Linked DNA regions of Zea mays. The main gene of each other region encodes a partner of the protein of the gene in region 7 in a complex. Links are inferred from orthologs where the notes say so. Each region holds a gene or a part of one and is shown on either strand. Other genes may lie near its edges.

Region 1 (3,617 bases), on a different chromosome or scaffold from region 7:
AATAATGGATCAATATTTCATAGTCTGGAAGTATAAATGAGTGCTGGCGTTTTTGTTGTTTCACTGTACATTCCTGTGATCTGCTTTGCTGGCAGTGGCAGATGGGTCATTATCATTCCAATTGGCTTCCATCAATTCACTAGTATCTGTTGATAAATAGGTGAAACCGAGTACAAAAGCTTATGCTTTCTGCTTAAGCAGAAAGTTTCTGTGAGATTGCTCAATCATCTTGCTTTTTGCAATAAAGCTTACCTTTATTTGCCAGCTATCTCATAATCAATATTTGCAAAAATGCAGTTTCTGGAGGATTTCGTGAATGGTGGAGAGGTAGCATCCTTCTTGGATTGCATTCGGCTTACAGCAGGACCATTACTTGCCCTTGGAGGTGCAATTCGTCCTGCAAGGATGCCTGTTGCTGTCTCATCTGGATATAGCTCTATGCCAAAACAGCCGAACATCCCCACACAAGGGCCTTTAGTAAATGGTTCATCTTCAACTATACATCACGCACCTGGCCCCTCAAATGCTGCATCTGCCCATTTAGGCAGTCATAACCTTCATGCTGCTGCCATGCTTTCAGCTGTTGGACGCGGTGGACCTGGGCTTGTTCCCAGTTCATTACTGCCTTTTGATGTTTCGGTTGTACTTCGTGGGCCATACTGGATACGCATTATATATCGCAAGAAATTTTCTGTTGACATGCGCTGCTTTGCTGGGGATCAGGTTTGGCTCCAGCCAGCTACTCCTCCTAAAGGTGGACCTTCAGTTGGTGGATCGTTGCCATGCCCACAGTTCCGGCCTTTCATAATGGAACATGTTGCTCAGGGTCTAAATGCTCTTGAACCCAACTTCATGAATGCTACACAGGCTAGTGGACACTTAAATAACAATGCAGGAGTTCCACAAACTGCTCCTAGTGCAAATCGTTTAAATGCTACCCCTGGTGTTTCTATGGTCAGGCCAACATCTGGTGTTGCTAACCATGTAGCAGCCAGTTTGAGTCGAGCAGGAAATGCCATGTTGGCTTCTTCGGCTCTTGCTTCTGGTATTAGTGGAACTTCTGTGCGACTTACTGCTGGAGCTGGTCTCCCTGTTCACATGAAAGGTGAACTAAACACAGCTTTCATAGGACTGGGGGATGACGGTGGATATGGTGGTGGCTGGGTTCCTTTGGCAGCTCTTAAAAAGGTGCTGAGAGGGATCCTAAAGTACCTAGGAGTTCTATGGTTGTTTGCACAATTGCCTGAACTTTTGAAAGAAATACTAGGATCAATCTTAAAGGACAATGAAGGTGCTCTCTTGAATTTGGATCAAGAGCAGCCTGCACTCCGGTTCTATGTCGGGTAAGAAAATATAAACTGGCAAGTATCCCTTGTTTTCTAGCATCATATTTAAAGTAAATGCTATTCATTTTTTTTTGGCTGCGCAATTAAGATTGAGGATCTACATGAAAGTATCCTTAATTTTCTATTGTGCATGGAAGCTTTGGTGCTTAGCGCTATTGAGTTCCCTGACCTTCTTTTGGAAATAGTACTTTGTTTATATCTGCTGCTCTTCGGATTATATATTCATTCATCTATTACATGTTACTAGTGTGCGTCAAATATTTACTGATTCCTTAAGACTATACTTAATTGTTTACTGAATATAAGTGGTGTTCTTTTATTTAATTTGATGCTATCAGCTCATAATTGGTTGAGCTTAGGCTAGCCTTATAAGATGAAAAATTGGTGTTCAAAATGACTCATCTTGTTTTTCCTGAGTTGAGTATTTTCATTTGGGATTGCTAGTAAATTGGTACCTGATTTCATAATTGCAGAGGATATGTATTTGCAGTAAGTGTACATCGGGTTCAACTGCTTCTACAAGTTTTGAGTGTGAAAAGATTTCACCACCAGCAACAGCAGCAGCAGGCTCAAAGCAATGCTCAGGAAGAGCTAGCAGCAGTTGAAATCAATGAAATATGTGACTACTTTAGCAGACGTGTTGCCTCCGAACCATATGATGCTTCTAGAGTTGCTTCTTTTATCACTTTGCTTACATTACCAATTTTGGTTCTGCGCGAGTTTTTAAAGCTGATTACATGGAAGAAAGGTCTTTCCCCGGTTCATGGGGACATTGCTACTGCACAGAGGGCTCGCATCGAGCTTTGTTTGGAGAATCACTCAGGATCAGCTTCGTCTGATAACACCGAGAACAGCAGTTTAGCCAAGAGTAATATTCATCATGATAGAGCCCACAGTTCAGTAGAATTTGCCCTGACATTTGTACTTGACCATGCTCTTATTCCTCACATGAATGTAGCTGGAGGAGCTGCCTGGCTTCCATATTGTGTATCTGTGAAACTTCGCTATTCTTTTGGGGACAACAATCATATAGCTTTCCTTGCTATGAATGGGAGCCATGGTGGGAGAGCCTGCTGGTTGCAGTTTGAGGAGTGGGAAAGATGTAAGCAGAAGGTTTCAAGAGCTGTGGAAACTGTGAATGGGTCTGGTGTAGCTGGAGAGGTAGGCCAAGGAAGGCTGCGAATGGTTGCAGAGATGATCCAAAAGCAGCTTCAACTCTGTCTACAACAGCTAAGAGATGACCCACTTTCTGCAGGCTCGACTGCATCATGAACTTGCTTGGAATGAGCTCTATCAAGGCCATTGATGTCTGTCATATTCAGCATGGCCTTTGGCTTTGTTAACGTGTAGATGTGAAGGAATACACATTTGGTAGCAGTGACAGTTTCGCCTGAGGCTTGCTCAGATGACAATTTTGTACAGTATAAATGGTGGCGGTTGACTCTGATGGACCTTTAGTTAGCCCATTTGAACGTGGCCTGTAACATAGCTAGGGTGGGTAATAATGTGCCAAGGTGGAATTGCTCAGGGATGCAAAATGATCTTCGGGAATTGGTTGTCTGTATCATCTACTGTAATCGTGTCCTTTTTCTCCCTTTCTGATGGATAGTTCATTTTTGGATTCGTTATCATCTTTCTTCTGTCTGTACTATGTTAATCTAGACATTGGTGGATCTGGTATATGTGTTGTTGTACATGATATATTGGCACTGGACTTGAGACTGACGCATTTGACGTCTTAGTATTAGCAGGACATCTCTAGTTGTGTTCAGAGTGATTGGACACAAAAAATATTGCTTGGAGCTTTTCTTTAGGGCTAGTTTGGGAACTTAAATCTCGACCCCATAGATTCCTGGAGAAGATTTGAGTTCCCAAACTAGTTCTTAATGTTTCTTTTTTTTTTCTATTGCATCTTCTTAGTAAATGATGTTTTTGTAACTGTAAAAACCGTGCCGGTCAAGATTGATACCTGGATGGATAAGATGATGTTGGGTCAGATTTCTTGCTCATGGTTAGGAAATTGATGTGAGCACTCTGGCCAGTTTGTTTGAAACTGATATTCGTGAGTTGTGATTGGAAGCGTATGGATAGGCTTTTTAATCGTGTTAACCGTCATACGGGTAGGCCTTTTTAGTTCTCGTGCTTCTACGTTTGGGACACAGGTGTCAGTTTTTGTGCTTTAATGGACTCCATAGGTATCACGTGAAGCTGACATAAGTTACTTATTATCTTCATTTTACTCTATCTTCTCGTGAGAGGAAAAAAAGGGTT
Region 2 (4,161 bases), on a different chromosome or scaffold from region 7:
TAACCAGCACCATACAACATATAAAATTAGCAATATTAGGTCTATTAAAATGGTTCTAAATATTGTAGATCGTAATGACAGCACTGACACCGGTATCAACTGGAAAACTAGGGCTTTTTAAGGAAGGCAGCTCATGCCGGTCTCCACTAAACCGACAGTCCCTACTGGCTAGTAACATCAGTTATTACGTACTAGTAACCCAGCAGTAAAAACTGCCAAAACTAGCCAAACTTTAGACACTCTTAACAACTAATAATTGTGAATTAGAAAACAAAACAATGGCTCAGTAAGTCAGTGGTAAGGCACTAAGGCCGCTCGGTGCGACCGTGCGAGCGCTACTACCCGAGTTTGATCCCTGACTGGGGCGACTCAGGTGTCACACGGGATTTTCATCAGAGGGGACTAAGCCTCTATGTGTGTGAGTTGCTCAGTAGGCACGTTCCAAGACTGCTTGGGCAGCCTCATCCGTGTTTGAGCATGAGGACAACATGTGTGCACCGTGCACATTTGAGTTCTTATATGATATGCTAGTGCTTCTGGCAACAACAAAGCCTTTTAGCTCCAATCAAGTTGGGGCAGTCCCAAAGAAAGCCTTTTAGTCCCATGCCTTCTATATAATATGGCAATGCTCCTGTTGATGTTTAAATAAATGTGAATTAACTTTTTAAAAGGATTTGCCTAGAGACATGAATATTTATAGACATTTTATGAGACAACACAAAAACCTGCAACAGATCTACTATACCCCGTCTTATTATCCATTTCTGGAAAAAATTCTTAATTCTTGTGCAATTGAAAATTTTATTGGATACCAAAACAAAGTAATTGAGATTCATTAGCCAGAATAGTTCAATTTAACTTAGTAATTATTATCAAATTCAGAAGACCACTAAGAATAAAGCATATGAGTCAGGAAAGAGAAGTAACAGAACTTACAGTAGACTTTGAGCTTATTGTTCCCGATATGGAGTTCAACAATTGTTGGCACCTAGCAAACTGGCTGGTCAATTCTTCAACCTAGATATATATAAAAAGCTTCTCTTAATACAGTAGCTATTGGAATTAGGATTTAGCAAAACGCTGGGAAAAATATGGTGTTTAGCTGGTATTCTATAAGAAATCAGCATGGAAGTACACAATACATAGTAGTAATTTTAACATGCTTCTGCAATTGCATAATTGCATAACTAAGGGTATGTCTTCCACTGGCTTGGTTTTGGCTATGGAAAACTGAACCGTGCAGACCCTGTCACCCTGGGCTGGTCCCAAGCTTCCTGTGCACCACCAACACTAGAGCATTGTTTGTGACCTGTCTCTTCTCTGGGAAGTGATTTAAGAATTACATCACATGTCAATTCAAACTCTGTATAAGAATATTCAGGCTCCACGCCTAGAAGAAGCTACAACTATTGTTTCTGACAAGATCATGCACTATGAGTACAAGAACATTGATCCATAAAACAAATGAAAATTAGTAAATGGTGATTCTTACCAGTGCATCGAAATTTTGGTCCCTTGTTCCTGTACCAATAGCATCGGCTAATCTTGTAACCAACTAACAGAGAACAAAATTATGCAAAGAAGAAAACTATCAGTATTTCACAATACATTCTAGTACTTTCTCAAAGAGTAAAAGGAAGAAGAGCCATCATAAAAGTGGAAACAAAGATTTGCTACTTGCAAAAAAGCCATTGGAAATAAGCCTAAATGTTAGATGCCAATACAGACATGTGATTGCCAGCTTAAGAAAACCTACAATACCTAAAGTGCCCTCATATATATTTTTAATTTATGTATTTCTTGTCAAACCAACTCGAGTGATTAGAATCAACATTTTCTCTGGCCATTACCAATGTTGCACGCTCTGACGCTTGTATATCGTTCATGTACACCTATAATATGGCAATCTTCACTACCGGCCAAAGTGACAAATCATGGTGTGAAGAAATTGCAATCGCTGAGCAACAAATACAGGACAAATTAATGACAATCTTTAATGACTAGCAAAATCCCAAGTTCAGAATTTTGAAATTCCGGTGCACAAAGGGCACACTCCAACAACATCAATGACATCACTACAAAAAGAAGGGTTCATTTGAGGGTATGTATCATCTATGCTATCTTAAACTAAGAGCAAAGGCCCCCAAAACACAAAACTCCACACAACTCCAAACACTCCGTTACTTACATGTAGGAGGTGGAAGTGGGAGGCAAGAGAGGCGTGGTGATGCTGCTGCGGCTGCGGTGGAGACATCAGTGTCTGCTGCGGCTGTGGAGACATCAGTGCTGGCTGTGGCTGCGGTGGAGACATAAGCGCCGGCTGTTGCTGCGGCTGCGGCTGATGGTACTGAAGAGCGTGGAGGTGGTGGTCGGGCTGCGGGGACGTCATGAGCCCACGGTAAGGATCGCCGTACTGCTGCTGCTGCTGCTGCGGGTGGTGGTGATCCATCTCTATCCCCAGTTCCCAACACCTGCGGGCAGGGGCTATTGGAAAAATCGAAGTTATTAGTAATTTAGTAGGCATAATAATACATGCATATACTTGCAATTACTCCTGAATCAGATCCGATTCTTAAGCTAGGTTTTGAGTGCTCGGTTTCGCAAAGCAGATAGGGGAGAGGAGGGACGGGCATACCTAGTGGGTGCTCGTCGCCGGTGAAATGGGCACGACGAAGGTCTGGGCACCGGCACCTGACGGCGGCGGCGGTAGCCTAGTGCTCGCCGGGAAATAGGGACCACGCGGGGCGTGAACTGTGAACGGCGGCCAGTCCGGTACTGTTTGGCCGACGGGGGCGCTAATCTCGGAGTACGGTGGCTGTGTCCAGCTGATATGGCCGTCTAAAGAACTGTTGTTGTACGATAGTCATACCTTTGTTTGTAGCGTTGGAGTTGAAATAGTGGATAGATATTAGATACGAGAGGAGATAGATAGTGTTTTTTAACCTTATTCATCTATAGATGGCTAAATAGATTGTCTGTCCAGCATTAATGGTGTTATTAGACACTATTAGTAAATGTGTCGTGATGTGTTAGTACTATTGTCTAGACACGGCACTATAGTGTCTAATCATGTCATGCCGACACTAACATCTAGTAGGGTTCGTGTTAGCCCACTTTAAAAGCTCAAAATATATAGATGATTTTTAAGGTTATATATAATTTTAAAACTTGAATATGTGTACTATTATAAAGTGGGTTGACTCTTCTGAGGCTCCCTTTTGGTAGGATTTTTGCATCACCGGCTTTCCTTCTGGCTCATCTGAAAAAAATAGTTTGATCCTTATTTTTAGTAACCCTTGGAGAACACTCTATTTAGTTAAAACACAACTACTCCTATTTTCATGGGAGGGTGAGTGACAAGAGAGAGTCGAGTCAGAGAAGCCTCCTTTTTAGGCTCTGGGCTTTCCTCGGTTTTTAGGGACATCTCCTTCCTATTTTTATGGAGAAGCCACGAGAGGAGCCCACCATTTGGTAGCCTTTTTGAAGAAGCTGTTGAGGGGCCATTAAAAGAGCTCTACCAAATAGAACTCTACTATGTAAATTGTCATGTACCTAGGAACAGGGTAACCAAAAGTAAGCCCACAACCTCCTTCCGGCCCATTAGCCGACCAACCCTCTGCCAAGCAAGCCTACGAGGCGGAGCGGACGACCAAGTCCTCCGTCGAGCAAGTTTGCAAGATGGAGCGAACGACCAATTCCTCGTCGAGAGGCAGAGCGGCTGACCAACTCATCGACGAGCAACCTCGCAAAGCAGAGCAGCCGACCAACTCCCCACTGAGCAACCCTTTGAGGAGGAGCGGTCGACCAACTCCAAATTGGGCAACCATACGAGGCGGAGGTCCCAACCTAACGCTATTAACCCGTGATGGCTACGACAAGACGCGTCATCATCAACCCACGTCCGGACATATGTGCAACGTACCGAAGGGGCGCCAGGAGGTCACTATCGACACGACTGAACGCCACCACGTACGCTCTAAGGCGTATCCCCACTGCCATGTGGGGTCAGTCAACCCAGTCATAGAAAAAACCTCAGCACTGGAGCCTCTACAGTGACCCGTATACCGGGGAAGGCAGCACAATGCGCCATACAAAGTATATGCCTACACACACTAGGTGACGCGTGATCGTTATGAGGGCAAAATTCTTACATGAGGGCAA
Region 3 (4,216 bases), on a different chromosome or scaffold from region 7:
GTCCAGCTTTTTTTTATCCGGCGAGCACAACAGCTGTATATGCAGTAAATTCTAAAATATATCATCCATGAGACAAGTATATAATGGAGTATACTTTTATTTAGTGCAGAAGAAAAAAAGATGATTATGTGTGCTTCTTTTTACTGGGAATATGTTATTATGTATTTAAAATTTATGTTCAAAAGAACTTAATAAAAATATAATATTTTTATTTGATCACGATTGAAGTAAGAGTGTTCTCATTTGATTTTTATTGTGGTTAGCTGAGCAAACAAGGGGAGAAGTTGACGGCTTATGAGCACTGTGGCACACAGCTGCTGTGCTCGCTGGATAAAAAAATTTGGACGAATAAATAAATCAGTCACAAAAATAAAACTGGATGAGAAATAAATCAGGACAAACAAATCAGCGACATAAACGAAAAATATGGACAAAAAAAACAAATAAGTGACAAAGACAAAAAATATTAAAAACCACCCACCATGGGGCTCGAACCCGCGACCACAAGGTTAAGAGTCTTGTATTTTACCAATTAAGCTAGACAAATTTTCTATACAGAACAGAGCTCGGCGCCATGATCTATGGCGCCGAGCTCGGTACCACGTCGGCCCCACGACATTCGTTTGTGCCAACGCAGCACGTACCTCGGCGCCATAGCCTATGGCGCCGAGCTGTGTTACCTCGGCGCCACAGGCTACGGCGCCGAGTAAATGGTCAAAAATGACATTAAAATTTTCTAGGGTCTAAATGTGATTTTTTTTCCGATGAAGGACCAAAATGCAAAAAATTCGGAACACACGCATACCTACCGTCTTCTCCTACTAGTACTAAAAAGAGAGAGAGATTTGTTTGGCGGAGAGCGAGACAGAAAAAAGTAGTACCATATCTGCAGGTGAAGTGGTCAGGCTGTGTCACTGTCAGTTCCCACTCACTCACTGACGCCGTAGTAGGTGAGCGTGAACTCAACGGCCCAACTCCGAGGGCCGAGCCTGACGCATCGCCACAGTACCCAGCCAATCCGAACAGGACGACGGCCGGCGTGGCCACCGCGCCGCGAGTTGGGCTGCCGGACGGACGGTCGGTCGGCGGGGCCCGCCGCGCGCGGGCTGCAGCAGCAGCTTTTTTCCAAACCGCGAGCGACGAAGTCAAGGGCGCCGGGACCACGTGTCAACGGGTGGGGGCTGGATCACGGCAATGGCACCACCACGCCACTTGGTGTGGGACCACACGTACCTCCAGGATCCGCTGCGGCCAGTGGTAGCCTGGCGACTCCATTTTCTCTTGGTTGGAAAGCTCGGTCACGCAGAAGATCCTGAAGCGGCGGCCCCACCGCGAGGTGGTGCGGTGGGGGACTGGGGGGAGAGGTGGTTACACCAACGGGACGCCATCAGCATCATCGGCGATCGGACCACCACCAAACCAACCCAGCAGCACAGCACCTGCAGGGCTGCAGCAGACACCACTCCAGCAGCCTCTCTCTCTCTCTCTCCTCACCGGCACGGCACTCCACGCGGCGGCAGGAGCACCCACCGCCACTGACGGGCGGGGGGGAACACGCGCGGCCATGGCCACGTCGGCGCCGCCACCGTCCTCCGCGCCGTGGCTGGAGTGGGCCGCGGAGTATACCAAGGCGGCGCAGGCCGAGGCCCGCCCGCCGCCGGAGTGGGCGGCGCGGGTGGCGGCGGCCGCTGCGGCGGCGGGCGAGAGTGAGGACGTGCCCTGGTCCGCGGGGCTCGCGGAGGTGCTGGCGCGAGCGCTGTTCCCCGGCGGCGGCGGCGGCGGTGGCGGGGCTGCCCCGGCGGCCGCCGCTTGGAAGTACGCGGAGGCCGCGCTCGCGGCGCGGCTTGCGTCCCCGGCGCTCCTCCTCGCGCTCCTCTCCACCAGGTGCGGTCCGGTGCTTCGTGGCGTCGGCTTGTGCGTTGTGTCTGTGGCGTGGTCCGTGGCGGTTGGTAGGATCGGAATGGCGGAATGCAGCGCTTAGCTGTCGGGGATCTAAATCGAATCAGTTGCACCTCGAATGCACGCAAGCAGTTTTACGACGTGTCCGGTCAGGTGTTTGCCCGTACACGAGTTTTACCAGGAAGCTGACGTGCTTCGCCCCGATAATTTGAGGGGGCGGAAATACGCTGTGTGGCAGTGTCATGTGTCAATGCATTGCCAAATGACAATGTGGGTAGATCACACCATGGGAGAAATGCCTGTTTTAAGAATATATAAGCAGTTGGACACTCAGTCGGTAGGCTAATCAGGGCTTCACTGCAATCCTCGTCCAGTTTTTTTTTTCAAGAGAAACAGGGTCTTGTAATAGCCAACACGGTTAGTTTGACCTATGTTTTGGGACTGGAAAAGTAGTTAGATTAGCGTGTGGCAAATCCCACTTAGTACTAATTATTTCACTGGCTGGTATTGCTGTCGTGCAACGTGCTTGGATTGTGTGGTGTGTGACCTTATGATGGAGTTAGGACTTTTCTCAATGTTTATTCTTATGGACTTCGTTTGTTCTTCGGGTCCTGCAGGGTAATTCCTCACCGGCTTTCCAGGCCAATGGAGTATAGACTCTACCTTGAGCTCTTGAAAAGACATGGGTTCAACTTCCATCATCAGATGAAAGCAGCAAATTTCAGAAAGTGTGCCTTTCCCCTCTCTGACTGCTCCCTGTATTTTCTTAACACTATGCTCAAGTCAGTGGTCTGGAATGAGAATCAGAGTAATAGGTGTAGTGTTCAATGTAATTTAGCATTATTCTTAATGGCCTTAAAAATAAGCATTTCAGTTTCAGGTGTTTGTAATTGTAATAAGGTTTACACTTGTATATACACCTTGTTGTGTGATGTCTCTGTAGTGGATTAGTGGTCATATCTTAATGGCCTTAAAATAAGCATTTCAGTTTCAGGTGTTTGTAATTGTAATAAGGTTTACACATGTATATACACCTTGTTGTGCGATGTCTCTGTAGTGGATTAGTGGTCATATCTGTCATTTCCAACTAAGGGCCCCAACTTTTATATGATGGAAAGTCTACTTGTCTTGCAGTAATGCATGCAACTTCTCTTGAATTTGTCAAGGCGGCATTTATTGCCGAAATTCTTCTGGAAATTTTCTTATATATCTTTTATACATTACTTATGTTCTTCACTTCCTAATACTTTGCACTGTTATTGCTCTATAACTTTAAATTGTTTTTTGGAAGTAAGAGTGTATGTGCTTCCATGTGGTTTTTAAGCTTGTTCCTTGCACTGTTATCTATTCATGCACTCTATCCCTATAGAAGTCTCAAATGCAATTGAAAAAAGGGCCTGTCTTGCAGTGTTAAATTTGCTGGAGCAATAAGAGATCCTTGCTAAAGCCTCTCTAATGTTTGCAGGATCATGGATATAATAGAGCGGAATCTTAGACTTTCCAAGATATTTGGCATCTCTACATGTGAACCAGGGGTTTTTGTTGTGCATTTCATTCTTTGTATTATATGGCAGTTGATTGATGTTGTTCTGGATGATGAGGGCCTACTAGAGTTAACTCCAGAGAAGAATGCTCAATGGCCAACAAGGCCTGAAGATGTGAGCACATTTGAAGGAACTTTTACTGAACAAAGAACTGAGAAGATCAAAAAGTTACAGAAGATGAACACTGTAACAACTATGGAGCTCATTGAGCATCTTCTTCGCGATAAAGTAATTACTCGTATCCTATCATTGGCACGCGAAAACATGTATGTCTTTTCAACTTGAAGTACTCTTTTACTGAATTGTTTCAGGTCTTTATTTTTGAGCATTTGGAAATGATGAATTCATCTTTTTGCTGATTGGTCATTAGTAATCTGTTTTCAAATATATTAGTCAAATAACAAACTAGATCTTCATCTCATAGGCTCATGACCTCATAAACTTCACTCAAGCTTATGGAGGAAGCCTTGGTTTATTCCTGTTTGTGTGGGATTTGGGTTTGGGGAGCTACAAATAATTGCTCAAGATTTTGCCAGTAACATAACCAATGTATCATAGAATATTCTGTGTATTTTCTCTAATGCAAACATTTAAGATAATGTTCTAGAAGCACTTAGGGTTATGCAAAAGGAAAAAAGTACAACTGTCTATGCTTGTGGTATTTTATTCGCCTTACCTCTTAAATAGCCAAGAAAAGTTTTGATAAAAACGGCAGCCATGGGACTCGAGCTTTGTCATGATCTGATGAACTGATGGGTGAATGTAAACATCAA
Region 4 (3,595 bases), on a different chromosome or scaffold from region 7:
AGGTACCTGAATTTTAGTTTTTAGTGTGTTGTAATTTATATAGACATAATCTACATTTTTACTCTTAAGAATAAAATATCTATTGAACAAAATCATAAATTTGGTAGATTTTGATTTGTGTTGACATAAAGACCATTAACATTTTGCAATTATTTTAGTAGTTAGCTAAGGGAAAAAATATAGGTTATAACATAAAGGTAAACAATAAAATTATAGTCTTAGACCCCCTTTGGACCCTTGGAATTGAATTCTAATATAATAATTGTAATTTAGACATAAATCAATTAAACTAATATGGTTTTATAGTGAGTATATTTGTATATTAGTGTTGGCCATATTTGAGAGATATTTATATGTTACATTTCTACTATAGGAGAGTGAGTAGAAGAGTGTGTTATAAATTACAGAGTAGAAACGTAGAATTGAATACATAAAATCAATTTCCACCCCATCTTATGAATTTGAGATGAGTTTATATCTAAACTTTGGAAAGTGGTGTAATATCAAATTCAAATCAAATAACCTACTCTATTAAATACTCCCTCCAGTCTTTAAATACTTGATGTTTAAGTGATTTTCACTTTGGATGCAAATACTTGATGTTGAAGCATTTGAAGCTTATTTTGGACTAGCAAATGCTTGATGTTGAAGCATTTGAAGCTTATTTTGGACTAATATACCCTTGATATAAGTGGTTCACACATTCTTCCACATATGCTTAATTATTCTTATCGTGAAGGTTTGATCTCACGACCTAGTGTAAAATTCTTTAGGACCCAACCATCTAGGCTAACATCTTCATGTGTTTGTTGTGGAATCTAAGCGTATTTATTAGGGGTATTATGGAAAATAACAACCCTATTTAATAGCTCCTTGGTATATGAGGTCATGTCCAAAACATCAAATATTTGAAGACTGGAGGGAGTAAATTCCAATTCTTTGAAAATAAAAGGATCCAAATGGTCCTTTATTAGCAATCAGTGGTATATAAGAGTGTTGCCTAAATTTTAGGCACCAAAATATGAAGAAGTGTGCTATTATAAAAAAGAAAAAATATTTCAGAAAATTGTCAGCCTGAACAAACTATGCGCTTTCCTTCAGCCAAGGCAGCCTCAGCCCTCGAGCCTATGCCTATCCAGGCGCAGAACACGCCATTTGTAAACCAATCCTAGCCGTGCGTCTTCAATCCAACGGAAAGTTCCTCCTTGTCAATAGCAAATCGGAGGCCCAAGCGCTCCCAATCTCTCCGGGTCCTCTCTCCGCATTCTCCGTCATGGCTGAGCCGACGCCGTCGCAGTCGCCAGCGCAGACGCCGCCCCCGCCGCCGACGCAGCAGACTCCCGCGGCGGGTGGGCTCGAGGACATGCTGGCGTGTGTGGCGGCGCTGGAGGCCGCGCTGCTGCCGTGCCTCCCCGCGCGCGAGCTCCAGGCCGTCGACCGCTCCCTCCAGTCCTCCCACCAGAGTACGGCCGACCCCCATCATTTCCCCACTCTCCTCCTCTAGAGGTAGCTTCACTTTGATCCGGCACGGCTTCGACACCAGTAAAGTCTCATGGTGTTCGGTCGGTTAATGGCGCCGTCGCGCGCCACATGTTCGTTGTTTTGCCTACGGGATGGATAAAGGGATCTTGCTCTTTCTAGAGGAAGATTTTGCATCTTTCTTGTGCCCAGGAAATTGTATATCGATTGGTTTCTTAGGTCCTAGACTGAGAACTCAACTTGTATCAACTGTACCAATCAGGCAATCACATTGCAATGCTTATTAAAGAAGTAAATCACATTTTTAGATACCGACTTAATAGTGTGCAATGCTTATTAGAGAAATTTAATTGCATTTTCTCATTCGTTCCTGCCAAACAGGGTATCTAAGTGTTGTAGTCTCTACTAAATTGGGCAGTTGATGTTGAGAGGCACGCAAGGGATTTCATGGAGGCTGCCAAGAAGCTCCAGTCTTATTTCATCAGCCTGCAGCGTGAGGAACCGCCATCTGCAGAAGAGATGCTTCGAAAGGTATATTTCTACTTTATCCTCGTATAGTTAAGAGTGCGGCAAGGATAGTAGTTAAATTAAATTGGGGACTGGTTATGGAGAATGAATTAATTATAAAGTGTTTGGTTTGAGGAATGAGCTAGTCCATCGTCTTCTCACTTCTCTTTTTTTATTTGATTTGTGGAATGAAATAAGGAATGGAGTCATTCCTTATAGTTAGTTAGTACTAATATGAGAAATAAGGTCATCCCAGCAAATTTGAGGAATGGACTCATTATACACCACATCATTTTGGATTGAGTGACTCCTCAAACCAAACACTCCCTTAAAAGTTTTCATTGGTGATAGGATTGACATTTCACATGATATGATCATCCCAAGTACTGTGATCATTTGTGGTTGGCACTATACTTAGGAATAGCCAACTTTATAAATCACATAGTGCTACTTGCTACAGGCAGTTTGTTACACTCAGTATAAGCTTTATTACAAAGACTCCTATATTTCTACTCGAAGTTGAGGTGTTCATTATTGAAAGAACTGGTAGCCTGCCTGAATCGTCACTTCTACAAAGTAATGTTCCCAAGGAACACCCAATCACATTCATACACCTAACACCTTCTGTGCTCATGAATTTTTCATGCACACGTTTCTGTAAAAAAATGCCTTTGCAGTAGTTGAGAGAATCACAGGTGCATAGTTGCTGGTCTTAATTAGGAATTTGGGATACATATACCCACCCAATATTTATCATCTCGTTGGCATGTTCGGTTTTGCATTGCACAGGAGATTACGACAATGGAGGAAGAGTTGAAGAGCAAGTCTGAGCTCATTGCCAAGCACAAGAAGTTGATTGAAGGGTGGCAAAAGGAACTGAAGGAGCAGCTGAGCAAGCACATCACGGAGCTTGAAAGGGTGTGAGGAGTGCGATTCTGCGGTTTACCTTGTAGTGATCATGAACCTCTAGGTGACCAAATGTTATGTTATGCCCTATAAAACTGTGTACATGTGCTTAGAATCTGACGCCATGGTTAGCAATCGCCTTTTGTTGGTTTCTTAAGGTTGGAAGCCACGAACAAAGCCCACTTTATCTATGTTTGATTGTGTACCTTTACTTGCCCCATGGTCTCTGTTGTTGTGCAAAATGAGTCTCTGCCATCATAAAACGACATAGAATGCTAACGGCTTCCTGTCTTTATGGGTAAACTTTGGGTGAATTTATGGGTAAACTTTGGGTGAACTGTTGGAGTCAGCCTAGCGGGTTATGTGCCTACTCTGGATGGCCGCCATGTTCGCAAGTTCCTTTCTATCTTTACTCCATTTGTGCCTGGATCAGCTCGAACAGAACCTTCTCCTGACAAAAAGCCGAGCCAAGTGGCACAGTTGCTACGTTGAATACACGAGCAAGCGAAAAAAAACACTTTGTGTTTTATCTCCGTTCCTAAAGGTGCACTGCCAGGTTGTTCAGTAATCCACTACTAGTCAAAATCTTTCTCAATCCATTTCAATACACCTTAATCCATATGATTTTGCTATAAAATGAACAAGACCTAAGGACATAATCCTTGTCATCACAATTCATATGGATTGGAGATAATTGGATGAG
Region 5 (4,263 bases), about 87 Mb from region 7:
CAATCTTAAGTGTCATACTAATCTCCTGTCAACGTCTCGACCGATGGGTGCATCAATGACTTTTTAATGGGTGGTCTTTCCACAAAGGACATGCCACTAATATTGATAATGTTTACCATACGGATTTTGCATATCATAATGATATTTGTCGTTCCGTTTATATATTTCATACAATTTTTTTACTTCCGTCGCAACGCACGGGCACTCACCTAGTTGAAAAATATATACACATGAGATAAACTTCTTTTTGAGAAAAGAAATTATGGTTTGGATTTTTGAGAAATTTTAATATTGGTAATACTAGATTGTTACACCCTGCAACTACAAGGCAGGGCATTACCCATCAGCAATCATGCAACCAGTCAAACCAAGAGCAAGGTTGGCACAACGATGTGTCAGACATGGACAACACTAGCAGGCAAAACTGACTGCTCAAATGCTCGGCACGAAGAAGGCCACCTCATTAGCCACGCCCACTCATCTCAAAGAACGGACTTTGGCTGTCCTAGCAGCAAGAACGGACTTTGGCTGTCCTAGCAGCATTACAAGGTTTTGCCACCGCCACTTGACATGAGTGAGGCAGCAGCAGCGGCTGCTGTTGGAACGATTCCTGTCGAGTGTCCTGGTTTTGACAGATGCAGCAGCCTGCAGCAGATTTCCAAGGATTATTAAAACCAAAAAGGTGTTTGGTTCATTCTTATATGTTTTCTGATTGTTGCCTCGGAATTCAAGCTTTGGGGTACTTACGGGGCAAGATATTCACAGAACGCAGTGACAGCTGAAACAACATCATTGTAATTATCAGCAGCAGCAGGAGCTGTGATTTCCACTAGCTGTATGGCAGGAGTGACTGGCGTAGCTTCATCGGTTGCATGGAGCCTTGACATCTTGTTAGCAGATGTAACAGTGACAGTGATTTGGGCACCTCGGTGGAAACGAAATGCAAAACCGCTCTTCAAGAGTTCATGGTCTAGCTTGTACCCTAGGGTGTAGAAGTAGTGCAAGACGTTCTTGCTAGCTTTGCTCTCCACAACTGTACGAACCAGAACTGAGATTTGCTCCGCACCAGCACCTCTCATGGCACCACCAACATGTCTTATGGTCCTACAATCTTGTCACAATTAATGATAAACATAACAAAAGGTAGACTTTCAGCAGCTTGTCTCGGTTACCAGGATGGTGTGGGCTGAGCTAAGTCACACAACAAACGAACCTCCGATGGGACAACACCTGTATGATTGCAAGACGTCAGTTAATACGCCACATGTGTAGGAATGGAGGAGTAGACTAATCACAAACTAACCTAGATTGGGCCCACTTTTAAGGCAGAGCTCATGCACCCTAAAACGCTCTTTCGGGACACCAGAGAGTCCCTGGAGTAGAACCTCAAGAGCATCGACATGCTGCAAAATGGAAAGATCAAACAAAGGTTAAACTAATGGCAGAGCAGTACAACAAAGAGCAACTTACATTCTGTGCACAACACATAAACTAGAACATACCAAAAAATTAAGTTCCTCTCTATTGTAAAAGCACAAGGATAGATCATATGTTCCCCCAACTGTATATTAAATGTTACTATTCTGTTAACATGCTGAGAAGAAAAAAAACAAATGAAATCAAAAGCTCCAGAAGTAGTGCCTTAAAGCGCGGAATAAATTGTTGACATTTAGTGGTCTACATGATCTATCTATTTATCACTTCAATAAAATAAACTTTTGTTAGTATTTATCTGTGATGGAGTAAACAGAAAAGTGACCACCAACTGGCAACTATGGATAGTGGCCATACCTAAGGGAGCTCAACTGAACACTAAAATGAAGCTAGATTGTATGGTGCGTAAGCTCAACATTGTGCACTGTACATGTACATCAATATGAGATTGTTTTGTCCACAGCAACGGAATTCAATTAGTAACGAAATGTTCAACAACAAATTCAATACTATAAGTATATACTTACAAATAGATATTAACAATCTATACACCATTCAAAATACTTATCAAATCTAGATGCAAGCAGTGAGAGGAAAAGTTAATGTCTGATCTGCATAACAAAATAGACTGCACTAACGATGATGAAAGAGCTCCTATCTTTCAAATGTTAGTGGAATGCGTGAAAATCAAATTTTACATAAACCATCAGTGCCAACTTGCATTGTGGCACAATACCTGGTTCTCGATGATTCCCTGCACCACGCACTCCATCGATCTTCTACTGTCCCACAATGATTTTGCACCCAAAAAAAAAGAATCACGTTAGTGGATTTGTTATATGTGTATCAGGGGTGGACCAGTATGGCAGTAAAAAACAAAATTAGAAGTTAGTAGACATCAAATAGTTAGGTTAGAGTTCGGGAACTCGTTTTCGCACAGCGGGTAGAGAGAAGAAGGGGGTGGGAGTGGGAATACATTGAGAGCGTTCTTCGCCAGCGAATAGATCAGCGAAGGGCGTGGTGCCTATGGTGGCGACTGCGGTAGCCCGTCCAGTCGTCGCAAAGAGAGAGAGAGAGAGAGAGCGCGCGCGCACGCGGTGTGAAGGTGACGGATGCGGCAGCGGCGGCGGCGGCTGTAGCCCAGCTAGGGCCTGATCTGGGAAGAGGGAGGCTCGATAGGACTGAGGCACTGTCGGCGGTGCGAGCCGTGCGGCGCAGCGTCGACAGGAACAATGGTGGACGCGACGCGAGGAGGGAGACGGGAACGACCGGACGAGGGAGCCAGGCAGTGGACGGCTGGGCTTGAGCAGGGAGGTGGGCTTGAGCTGGGAGAGTTCACAGTCTCGTTTGGAATGATCCAAATTTCGTTTCGTTGACTAATCTTTTATTTTTTATATTGTTATATTTTGAATCAAATCCATTTAAAACGGACTGAAATTTGTTTTTTTGGTTAATAGCGAAAACGAAAAAAGTATCAAAATTTGGTGATCTCGGACAGAAAAGATAAACCGTGGGCTTGAGTCAGGATTGTTCAGCCTAGTCGCGGTGCGGGGGTTGTTCAGCCTTATTTGTCACTTTTTTTATTTTAATTTTGATAAGACCTAATAGGTTACTCTAGATATGTTATCACTTTACCTTTTTATTCCTAAATCACTTGATAGTTTTACTATTTCTTTACATGGTTTTGGGTTAATATTTCATTATATCCATGTTCCAATTATTTTGTTATTTTATTTTTATTCATGTCAAGATTATTATCTTTAATTGGAACATAGAGCTTAACTTGAGAAACATGTGTCACCACAAGAGAGGAATGAGACCCCTTGACTAACTAATTAGGAAAGCTAGTGGAAAACTACCTTACCCGAAAGGGGCAACGGCAGTAAGAGAGTTACATGCAGAGAGGTTCTCGGTTGATTTTGCTGCGATGGCGGTCAGACGGGGGATTCTTGCAAGTCGAAATCTAGTGGAACTTTATAAAGGCCTCGTAGTGTTGCCCTGTCTCGCTTCCTTGGTAGAGGTGTATGAGAGTCGCGATCCCTTGGTAGATGGGTAACATTACTTGTGGATACAGGGTACAGCCTCTGTAGAGTGTAAAACTGGTATACTAGCCGAGCTCATGGTCATGAGCAGCTCAGAACTGTCGCATGATTAATTAATGGAACTTAAATTCAATTTGTCATTTGCATTGCATGTGATTACTTATTAATTTTGTTCTATTATTTATTATGGTTTGGTATTTACTTACACTTAGTAACTGCTAATAAAATTTTGACCAACTTATAAAAGCAATGCTCAGCTTCAACCTTTATTTTGTTGATCAGCCTTACACTTCACATGAACTCTCACCTTTGGTGAGTTCATGCACACTAGTTTCCCCACAACTTGTTGAGCTATGATCATATGTGAGCTCACCCTTTCTGTCTCACACCCCCATAGGAGAAGAACAGGTGGTTCAGGAGGAGGCACACAATGAGGAGTTTGATCTAATCTAGGTGGCATCTCCCAGTTGACTTATTGGCGCTAAAGATGGATTTTAGTTCGATTTATATTTATCTTTTATTTTGTAAGACTTCCGCGATGTAATAAGTACTCTGATGTTATTGTGACATTTATCTCTATACACTCTGTTATTATATATGTTGTCTTCTTTGGCACATGTATGAGATGCATTCGGCTTTGTTCCTTAAATCCGGGTGTGACAGAAGTGGTATCAGAGAAAATGTTGACTGTAGGACGAAACCTAAATAGAAATGGACAAAACCCTTTCCTAATTACCTTACTCTGATTCATTCTATACTTATCTTATCTTGCTCCTGTCTCACCTTT
Region 6 (3,973 bases), on a different chromosome or scaffold from region 7:
GTTCCAGGTCTTAATATATTCTTAAATTAATCGACCAGATACTCAGATCCTTTTCTCACATGATACGGAGTAGTATCATTCAGCATGTTACATTTATCAAAGTCCGGTATACTTATGGAGCTAATATTTTATCTAGCTCTATTTTCTGAATTTGGCATTGGTTACAACCTTTAAAGTTTCTGTACAGATTATCTCATTTCAGCTCTATTTTTTAGGTACACTGCTTATATTGAGTCAGTGGCCAAATTTTAACAATCAGTTGTGGTCTTAATCCATGTTACTGTTGTTGGTATGATAATGCACTTTGCTCACCATATCATCTATGTTTTTGGTATGATAATGCGTTAACGCGTCTTAATCCATGTTGGATGTAAACGCATGTTTTTTCTGCTAATGCTTCCTCTGTCCCAAATTATAAAACATTTTGGCATTTCTAGGTTCATAGCTTTTGCGTATCTATACATAATATATTTCTAGGTGTGTAGCAAAAACTATTGATCTAGAAAAGCCAAAAAATCTTATAATTAGAAATGGAGGGAGTAGTTCATAGTCCTCAGCCAATTCTCTTGAGTGCAGCCATCAAATTGTGAAATTGTACTTTGTCTACAGATCCTATAATATCGATACAAACAGATTATGACATCTCCACATTTCTGCTTACTTCCAATAGTTTATCAGCATACTGTCATGTAGCATAGTCAAATCTTTTTTTTCTGCACATAATAGATTAACATACATTTGAGATACAGTGATGGGCATATCTGGTTTCTTGGTAACCATCTTACTAAATTACTGTTCAATTCAGTTCGTGCTTTTGTGAAAATGACTAGTGAATATACTCTGAGAACAATGAAAACCAGTACTGCTTTGTTAACTCAAATATCATGAATCTGTAGGGACCATAGCAGTGGTGAATAAAACTTTGGATCTATAGAACGATAAAGGAACTAAGGTGCTGTTTGGTTTATATGTTTGTAATGTAATAGGTAACAAATAACGTTAAATCATGTTTGTTTAAGTCCAACTGTAATTGGATACCACACTACAAATTGATACCAGCCTATTCAAACTTGTTACCCCTGGTAATCGAATGCAAATCATTACCGTTACCATTTACGTTACATTTTAGGAACCAAACGGCACCTAATTTAAGTCGTGAGTTCGAAGCTCATCCCTTTCCTAGACCCCACTCGTGTGAGAGCCTCCAGCACTGGATCAGCCCTTTTTTAGTTTTTTTGTCTATCTCAAACCAGGGATCCCAAGTTCCCAACCTTATCTCTTCACTCAACAAAAGAGTTGACTCAAAATCAAAAACTGCAACAACCAATCCCCATACACTGGCTGGTCCAAACAGGTACAGACTTAAAACTGGCGCAGCATTATACCCCCAGGTTTTTTTTTTCTGGTCATCATGTAATTAGATCTATATACCTCTCATGCTTTGTCACGACACTATAATTTTTTTTTATGGAGAGCAGCATTTTAGCAATCTGTGTAAAGATTGGGCAATAACCAATGGGCATAAAGACATTAATGCTGAGTAGTAGTATATCTCAAAATGGAAAGGTAAAAACAACAGCCAGCAAATCGCAATGATTTAGGTGCTGTTTGGTTCAAAAAATGTAACGCAAATGGTAATGGTAATAGTTTACGCTCGATTACTGGCGGTAACAAATTTGAATAGGCTGGTATCAAATTTTAGTACGGTATCTGATTACGGTTGGACTATAACAAACATGATTTAACGTTATCCATTACCCATTACGTTACAAATATATGAACCAAACGGCACCTTAGTTCATGTTCTTGCAAATATCAACACGCAAGGTTAATGCTGTCACTCATAGAAACACAGCAACGACAAGTTCTTTGTTTTCTATTGAAGGAAAAATGCTACAATTTTCATATGAGAAGGGCGATGCTACTAGTTTAATTCAGTAACTCCATAGTCCATACCTACTGGGCACCCTCCTCCGGGTGTTGCCCTCCAGCGCCGGCATTTGGGGTAGCGGCACCGCCACTGCCGCCGGTCCCTTGAGCAGAGGCGCCGTGCTGGAGCTCGATGACGAGCCATCGGACGGCCTTGCTCATCTGCTCGAGGCGGACGGCGCTGATGGGCTTGATGCCGGGGGCGGCAACGGATCCGGCGGAGGCGGACCCCGTGGCCTCGTCGACGAGGCACTCGGAGCCGATGCGCTGGCGGATGGACTCGACGAGCTCTTCGGCGTGGTCGCAGGCGACGCGGAAGATCTCCCAGCGCTGCTTGAAGGCCTCGAGCGCGGCGTCCGTGGCCGCCGTCTTCTTCTCGCCGCCCGACTGTACGCGGGCCTCCACCACAGCCGCCGCCGCCGCCATGAAGTCGTCGTACGCCGCGCTCAGGTGGTCCACAGTCGCCTCCATCCCTCCCTCACCCCCAGCTTCTGACGATCCAATTCGGCCTCAGCCCCCAATTCGACACGACGACCCCGAAACCGAAAGCAAAGCGTGAAAACAGGAAATGCCGAAATGGCCCAATCGATATCGGGTCGAGATCAGGATGGGCCTTTTTATTCGACATACGCATCTGGACCAGGGCTAGAGATTGTAGGCATGGATTTTTTTCTAAAAAAATAATATTGTTTTCCCAGACCGTATAGTAAATAAATTCTAAAAATTACATTATTGGACGCGTGTTGTTGGGAAGCTCGCGATCAATCGTGCGGACAGAACGTAGGAAGTGGCGGATCCAGAGCTACTATACGTGGTCTTTTTTTTACAAGACTCTCGTTTATCCTAATTGTTTTAGAATTAGAATCATCTTTCTTCTGGTTCTTGATGAAAAATTTATCCATCCTATTCTTATAAGCATGGGATTACTACCAAATAAATAATCAAATCAAAATTTCAAATCAAACTTAAAGCAAACAATAGCACATGTTTCACCTTCACTGCTTGTCTGCTTCACAGATCACAGCTTCACCTTCGTTGCTTCTGCTTCGCAGTTCGCATGGGACGTCCTATTCCTGCATGATCTGTCACAGATTAGCAGAAACTCTCTTGGCCTCCTATTCCTTCATCGTCCCAAACTCCCAACAGAACAAGGAACCCCCAACAGAAAGCTTGGAGGGGCATTGGCACACGCCGCACACCGCGCATGGCATTATGGCAAGGCCATACATCACTGGCTGTCTGGCTCATCACTCCAATGCAAGAACAAGCTAATAGCTAAGCACACTTTCTTCTCAGCGCGTGTGTACAAACCTGAGCTCCACGAATTAGCAGAAGGAGGGAGCGCGGAGTGGCGGCTGGACAGCGGCGTGGTCAAGGCGGTGCTCCGGGCGGGGCTAGCGGCGGTGTTCCGGCGGTCCGGCCTCCGGGCGAGCGACGCTGCGGGTTGCAGCGGTGCTCCGGGCGTCGGGGCGTGGGCGGTTGGAGGCCTGAAGCTCGTGGGTAGAGGGAGGAGGAGCGACCTACGACTGGGAGGCTGTTCACGCGGTCGCGCGGCTGGAGCTGATGGGCTTATTCGCTGATTTTTGGGCCGCGACCGGGCTGCAGCCCAGGCAGCCCCAGCCTCGGTTGGAGATCCGCCACTGAATGTAGGAAGAGCTGAGTGGTGTGTTGGCTTACTGCTACGATTGTCCCTATTGATTGTGACTCTGATTAGATAGTTCTAGACATGTCATCTGGCTTGACATGTAACCAAATGGGTGTGTTATTATCAGTGAATCACTCTATTAATACACAATACGTAGTATATTAAACGTTACCGTACATTGAAAGCAATTGTTGGGGGTAAGCCTTTGCAGGAGGTCCTTAATTAAAATCAACTAATCTTAACCACTTTATCATTTATTCCGAGAGCAACCAATTCATGTTTGCCGAAGGTCGCTAATGCAGGTTAAAAGAGGAACAGAAGAAGCTTTGGCTTAAGCGTGCAGATAAAGCATGTCGCCAAACTCGAAGCGAATGACAAGAAAACGAACAAAGGACTCAC
Region 7 (2,934 bases):
ATGACATCATCAGTAGTAGTGGCAGAGTTAGTGCTCCTTAAGCAGAAGAGGTAGGCAAACGATTGCTTTGATAGACTAAATCTTGTATTTATCTTAAGAGTAGGTGCATATGTCAGCACCTTACATTCTTAGCTCCCTTTAGCACCTACATTAGCATAATAGCATCTACTTTAGCATATATATCTGCATATGCTGAAATCTCTTAGTTTTCAAGTTTGCTTCGCTACTTCTATATATACCTAAACCTGCTATGTTTTTGCGTAATGGCTTAAATGAAATATAAAATCTTGTCCCAAAACCTGTGTCTATCCCTAGCATGCTTTGCCAATAAGCAGCCGGTCAAGAATGAGGTATGGATCCAACTGTTGTGACATGTGGTGTTGTGAGGTGGAGTAGATAGGGTCTATTTGGACCTAAGTGGCACACTAAGTTTAGGGACCAAGATAACAAGCCGAGACAAGCCTCTGAACCTAAAAATAACATTTTAAAAAACTGGGACCTCGACGTCACACAAAGACAGGCTTGAGGACTTAAAAATGCATTTTCGGAGTTTGGGACTTGAATGACACCCTGGAAAATATATGTAAATTCTGACAAAAAATGCTGGAATGATGCTAAATGATGAACATAAACTTGCAGCAGTTATTGAGGTTGCATTGCAGGTACAGCATATGCTGATCCAATTCGAAGTGACTAACACCTTGCCATACAAAGCTGTTGACTTTAAATTTAGACCACTTACAAGCTCATAACGTAAATCTAAAGTAAAACTGAGACTAGCTCAGATAGTCAAGGACAGTGGATGTATCTCTGGGGCTCTGGGCCACACAAGTTCAAGTCCTCATCAAGGCAAATTTCGGTGCATATTCTTTAATTATTAAATTAAAAACACCTTGTTCCTTCAAGGTTGGTTGAGCATTTAATTTAAAGGAAAAATATACCACATATTTCTAATTTTGGAGTAACTGCAAAGAGAAAACCGAGTATATACCTTCATGAACAAAGGTCGAGCAAAGGCTAGACGAGGTAACAAGGGACCCAATATGCGGAAGGCGATTCTTAACATGGCAACTGAATTGACTGGCCGAAGGTGTTTGATGACAGTATGAGTAGATTCCAGCCACTCTTGTGGAAGATTGCTAAAAAAGGAATGCAGAAGGGCAACAATGTTACCTGCAACCAAAGCACAAACGACATAAGACATAATTGAGGCACTAGCATATTAAGTTAGAGTGCAGATTTTGCGCCATTGATAGCTAAAACACCAAACTGCAATGTTCCAAAAGTCAACATAAAAATCATGTATGTAATACACATAAAGTATAGCCACAACAATTCAGTTTGAAATTCATCCTAGATGCCAAGAAATAAAATAGACAAGCAGTCAACCTGACACTGTTCACCATGTGTTGATAGTGACACTTCTATTTTTTTAATCTCAACATCAAAGATGAATTTCAAACTGATTTATTGCGGCTACACTTAACTTTAGGTCTACTACATACATGATTTTTGTGATTATTTTGAAACATTGCAATATGGTATTTTAGCTAACAAGGACGCAATATAATTTTCCATTAAGTTAACTCTGATCTGATCCAGCTCATAAGACTAAAGAAAAATGTTCTACCAATGGCTGTTGATGTATTGTCTTGGGAAGCCCATGTAGGATCCAACAGTGCATATCCAACAGCAGAGTCAAGCTCTTTAACAGGCCTGGAACCATCAGCAAGCCACCAGCAGTCTTTTATGACTCGAGCTGCTTCTGAGTATAGTTGCATGTGGAATTCTGGTGGGAGTTGTGCCAGCAGAAGACCACATGCTTGAATCATCAAAACAGACAATTGTTGGCAGGAGTAACCACTCCTAGAAACAAAGTTAGTGGCATTGATGCCAGTTGCAGCACTGTTCGCTTGGTTGGGACCTGAGGATTCAGCAGCCCCTGAAGGAGAAGTTGGCAGCCCAGAACTTTGCCCCAAACCACCTGACATTCCTTGGCCACTATTTGACTGTATAAGTATTGCTTGTACATGTGCTATTATTTGGACCAAAGAGGACACTATTTGAGCAGCAGGCACAGGAAGTGAGAGAATCTCAATAGCTGCTGTTTCCAAAACAAGCTGTGTATACGACCCAGGATCCTGATTCTGATAAAATGCCCTCTGGCCATCGGTGTTACCAACTCCACCAGGTTGTGAAGATGCATGATGTTTGTTGAAAGTCGAGCGTGTTGTGTCTGCTGGGTTTGATTTCGATTTGCTACTTAAAGGAGGTATAACATTATTAACGAGGTTTAGCAACAGGTTGGCAAAGTATTCTGGTGGTGGACATATTGAAGAATTTGATGACACTAAATATTTAGCAAAAGATTCTGAAAAGGGGGTCTGGAAAAAGCTCATAGTTAGCAAGTGTTAGGCACAAAGTGTTACAACTAAAAAAGTAAATAGGTTTACCTTAGTGCTAACACCCAGCAGGTTGAGGATCCTACCAATTAGTTTGATTGGAAGATGACCATAGAAATACGCAAGAATATCACGTACAAATGTAAATCTTAGCGGGTGGAAGGCAAGCAAGGAAGAATAGAATGCAAGAACTCTGTCTGCAATGTCAGTTGCATCATTCTCAATAAGCCTATAAATAATCAGTGGAATAACAGGAAGCAGACGTGCAGCAATGTCATCGAAGAAGGGTGGATAGCTGCATCAACAAAACTAGAGGACATCAAGATTCTATTACCACCATTGAAAACAAAACAATATGTATCTCAGAAGAAAACCTCACTTTCTGTTTGGTAAGTTGACAGCCAATAGTAGCTTTATAGTTTTGGAATAGGTGCAGCATATATTACAATAATTAGTTTAAAGCTGGGTATAAATGGACAAACAAGCACTGACCACAGATAAAATAATCCTAATATGAAACCATATTGGCCAA

The links.
Region 1: Mediator of RNA polymerase II transcription subunit 23 (region 7) and mediator of RNA polymerase II transcription subunit 14 share a complex: the UniProt entries of both Arabidopsis thaliana proteins name them as parts of the mediator complex. The link is inferred for Zea mays from reciprocal best matches to the Arabidopsis thaliana genes AT1G23230 and SWP.
Region 2: Mediator of RNA polymerase II transcription subunit 23 (region 7) and uncharacterized protein LOC100276155 share a complex: the UniProt entries of both Arabidopsis thaliana proteins name them as parts of the mediator complex. The link is inferred for Zea mays from reciprocal best matches to the Arabidopsis thaliana genes AT1G23230 and MED9.
Region 3: Mediator of RNA polymerase II transcription subunit 23 (region 7) and Mediator of RNA polymerase II transcription subunit 33A share a complex: the UniProt entries of both Arabidopsis thaliana proteins name them as parts of the mediator complex. The link is inferred for Zea mays from reciprocal best matches to the Arabidopsis thaliana genes AT1G23230 and RFR1.
Region 4: Mediator of RNA polymerase II transcription subunit 23 (region 7) and Mediator of RNA polymerase II transcription subunit 28-like share a complex: the UniProt entries of both Arabidopsis thaliana proteins name them as parts of the mediator complex. The link is inferred for Zea mays from reciprocal best matches to the Arabidopsis thaliana genes AT1G23230 and AT3G52860.
Region 5: Mediator of RNA polymerase II transcription subunit 23 (region 7) and mediator of RNA polymerase II transcription subunit 18 share a complex: the UniProt entries of both Arabidopsis thaliana proteins name them as parts of the mediator complex. The link is inferred for Zea mays from reciprocal best matches to the Arabidopsis thaliana genes AT1G23230 and AT2G22370.
Region 6: Mediator of RNA polymerase II transcription subunit 23 (region 7) and Mediator of RNA polymerase II transcription subunit 32-like share a complex: the UniProt entries of both Arabidopsis thaliana proteins name them as parts of the mediator complex. The link is inferred for Zea mays from reciprocal best matches to the Arabidopsis thaliana genes AT1G23230 and MED32.

What each region holds. Positions count from the first base shown.
Region 1 is NC_050097.1:176,292,247-176,295,863, reverse strand, and holds the end of mediator of RNA polymerase II transcription subunit 14, read left to right. Parts: intron 1-297; coding exon 298-1,343; intron 1,344-1,819; coding exon 1,820-2,618; 3' UTR 2,619-3,117; downstream 3,118-3,617. UniProt on the Arabidopsis thaliana protein: Component of the Mediator complex, a coactivator involved in the regulated transcription of nearly all RNA polymerase II-dependent genes.
Region 2 is NC_050097.1:1,837,529-1,841,689, forward strand, and holds the start of uncharacterized protein LOC100276155, read right to left. Parts: upstream 2,801-4,161; 5' UTR 2,636-2,800; intron 2,485-2,635; 5' UTR 2,450-2,484; coding exon 2,189-2,449; intron 1,556-2,188; coding exon 1,493-1,555; intron 1,018-1,492; coding exon 937-1,017; intron 1-936. UniProt on the Arabidopsis thaliana protein: Component of the Mediator complex, a coactivator involved in the regulated transcription of nearly all RNA polymerase II-dependent genes.
Region 3 is NC_050097.1:165,234,306-165,238,521, reverse strand, and holds the start of Mediator of RNA polymerase II transcription subunit 33A, read left to right. Parts: upstream 1-1,416; 5' UTR 1,417-1,564; coding exon 1,565-1,884; intron 1,885-2,516; coding exon 2,517-2,627; intron 2,628-3,364; coding exon 3,365-3,709; intron 3,710-4,216. UniProt on the Arabidopsis thaliana protein: Component of the Mediator complex, a coactivator involved in the regulated transcription of nearly all RNA polymerase II-dependent genes.
Region 4 is NC_050103.1:84,916,337-84,919,931, reverse strand, and holds Mediator of RNA polymerase II transcription subunit 28-like, read left to right. Parts: upstream 1-1,127; 5' UTR 1,128-1,273; coding exon 1,274-1,463; intron 1,464-1,897; coding exon 1,898-2,010; intron 2,011-2,775; coding exon 2,776-2,910; 3' UTR 2,911-3,095; downstream 3,096-3,595. UniProt on the Arabidopsis thaliana protein: Component of the Mediator complex, a coactivator involved in the regulated transcription of nearly all RNA polymerase II-dependent genes.
Region 5 is NC_050100.1:126,532,858-126,537,120, forward strand, and holds mediator of RNA polymerase II transcription subunit 18, read right to left. Parts: upstream 2,801-4,263; 5' UTR 2,411-2,800; intron 2,217-2,410; 5' UTR 2,207-2,216; coding exon 2,171-2,206; intron 1,404-2,170; coding exon 1,304-1,403; intron 1,231-1,303; coding exon 1,173-1,230; intron 1,105-1,172; coding exon 748-1,104; intron 646-747; coding exon 543-645; 3' UTR 279-542; downstream 1-278. UniProt on the Arabidopsis thaliana protein: Component of the Mediator complex, a coactivator involved in the regulated transcription of nearly all RNA polymerase II-dependent genes.
Region 6 is NC_050101.1:142,578,410-142,582,382, forward strand, and holds Mediator of RNA polymerase II transcription subunit 32-like, read right to left. Parts: upstream 2,520-3,973; 5' UTR 2,401-2,519; coding exon 1,957-2,400; intron 714-1,956; 3' UTR 501-713; downstream 1-500. UniProt on the Arabidopsis thaliana protein: Component of the Mediator complex, a coactivator involved in the regulated transcription of nearly all RNA polymerase II-dependent genes.
Region 7 is NC_050100.1:213,163,240-213,166,173, forward strand, and holds part of Mediator of RNA polymerase II transcription subunit 23, read right to left. Parts: intron 2,698-2,934; coding exon 2,454-2,697; intron 2,385-2,453; coding exon 1,631-2,384; intron 1,174-1,630; coding exon 992-1,173; intron 1-991. UniProt on the Arabidopsis thaliana protein: Component of the Mediator complex, a coactivator involved in the regulated transcription of nearly all RNA polymerase II-dependent genes.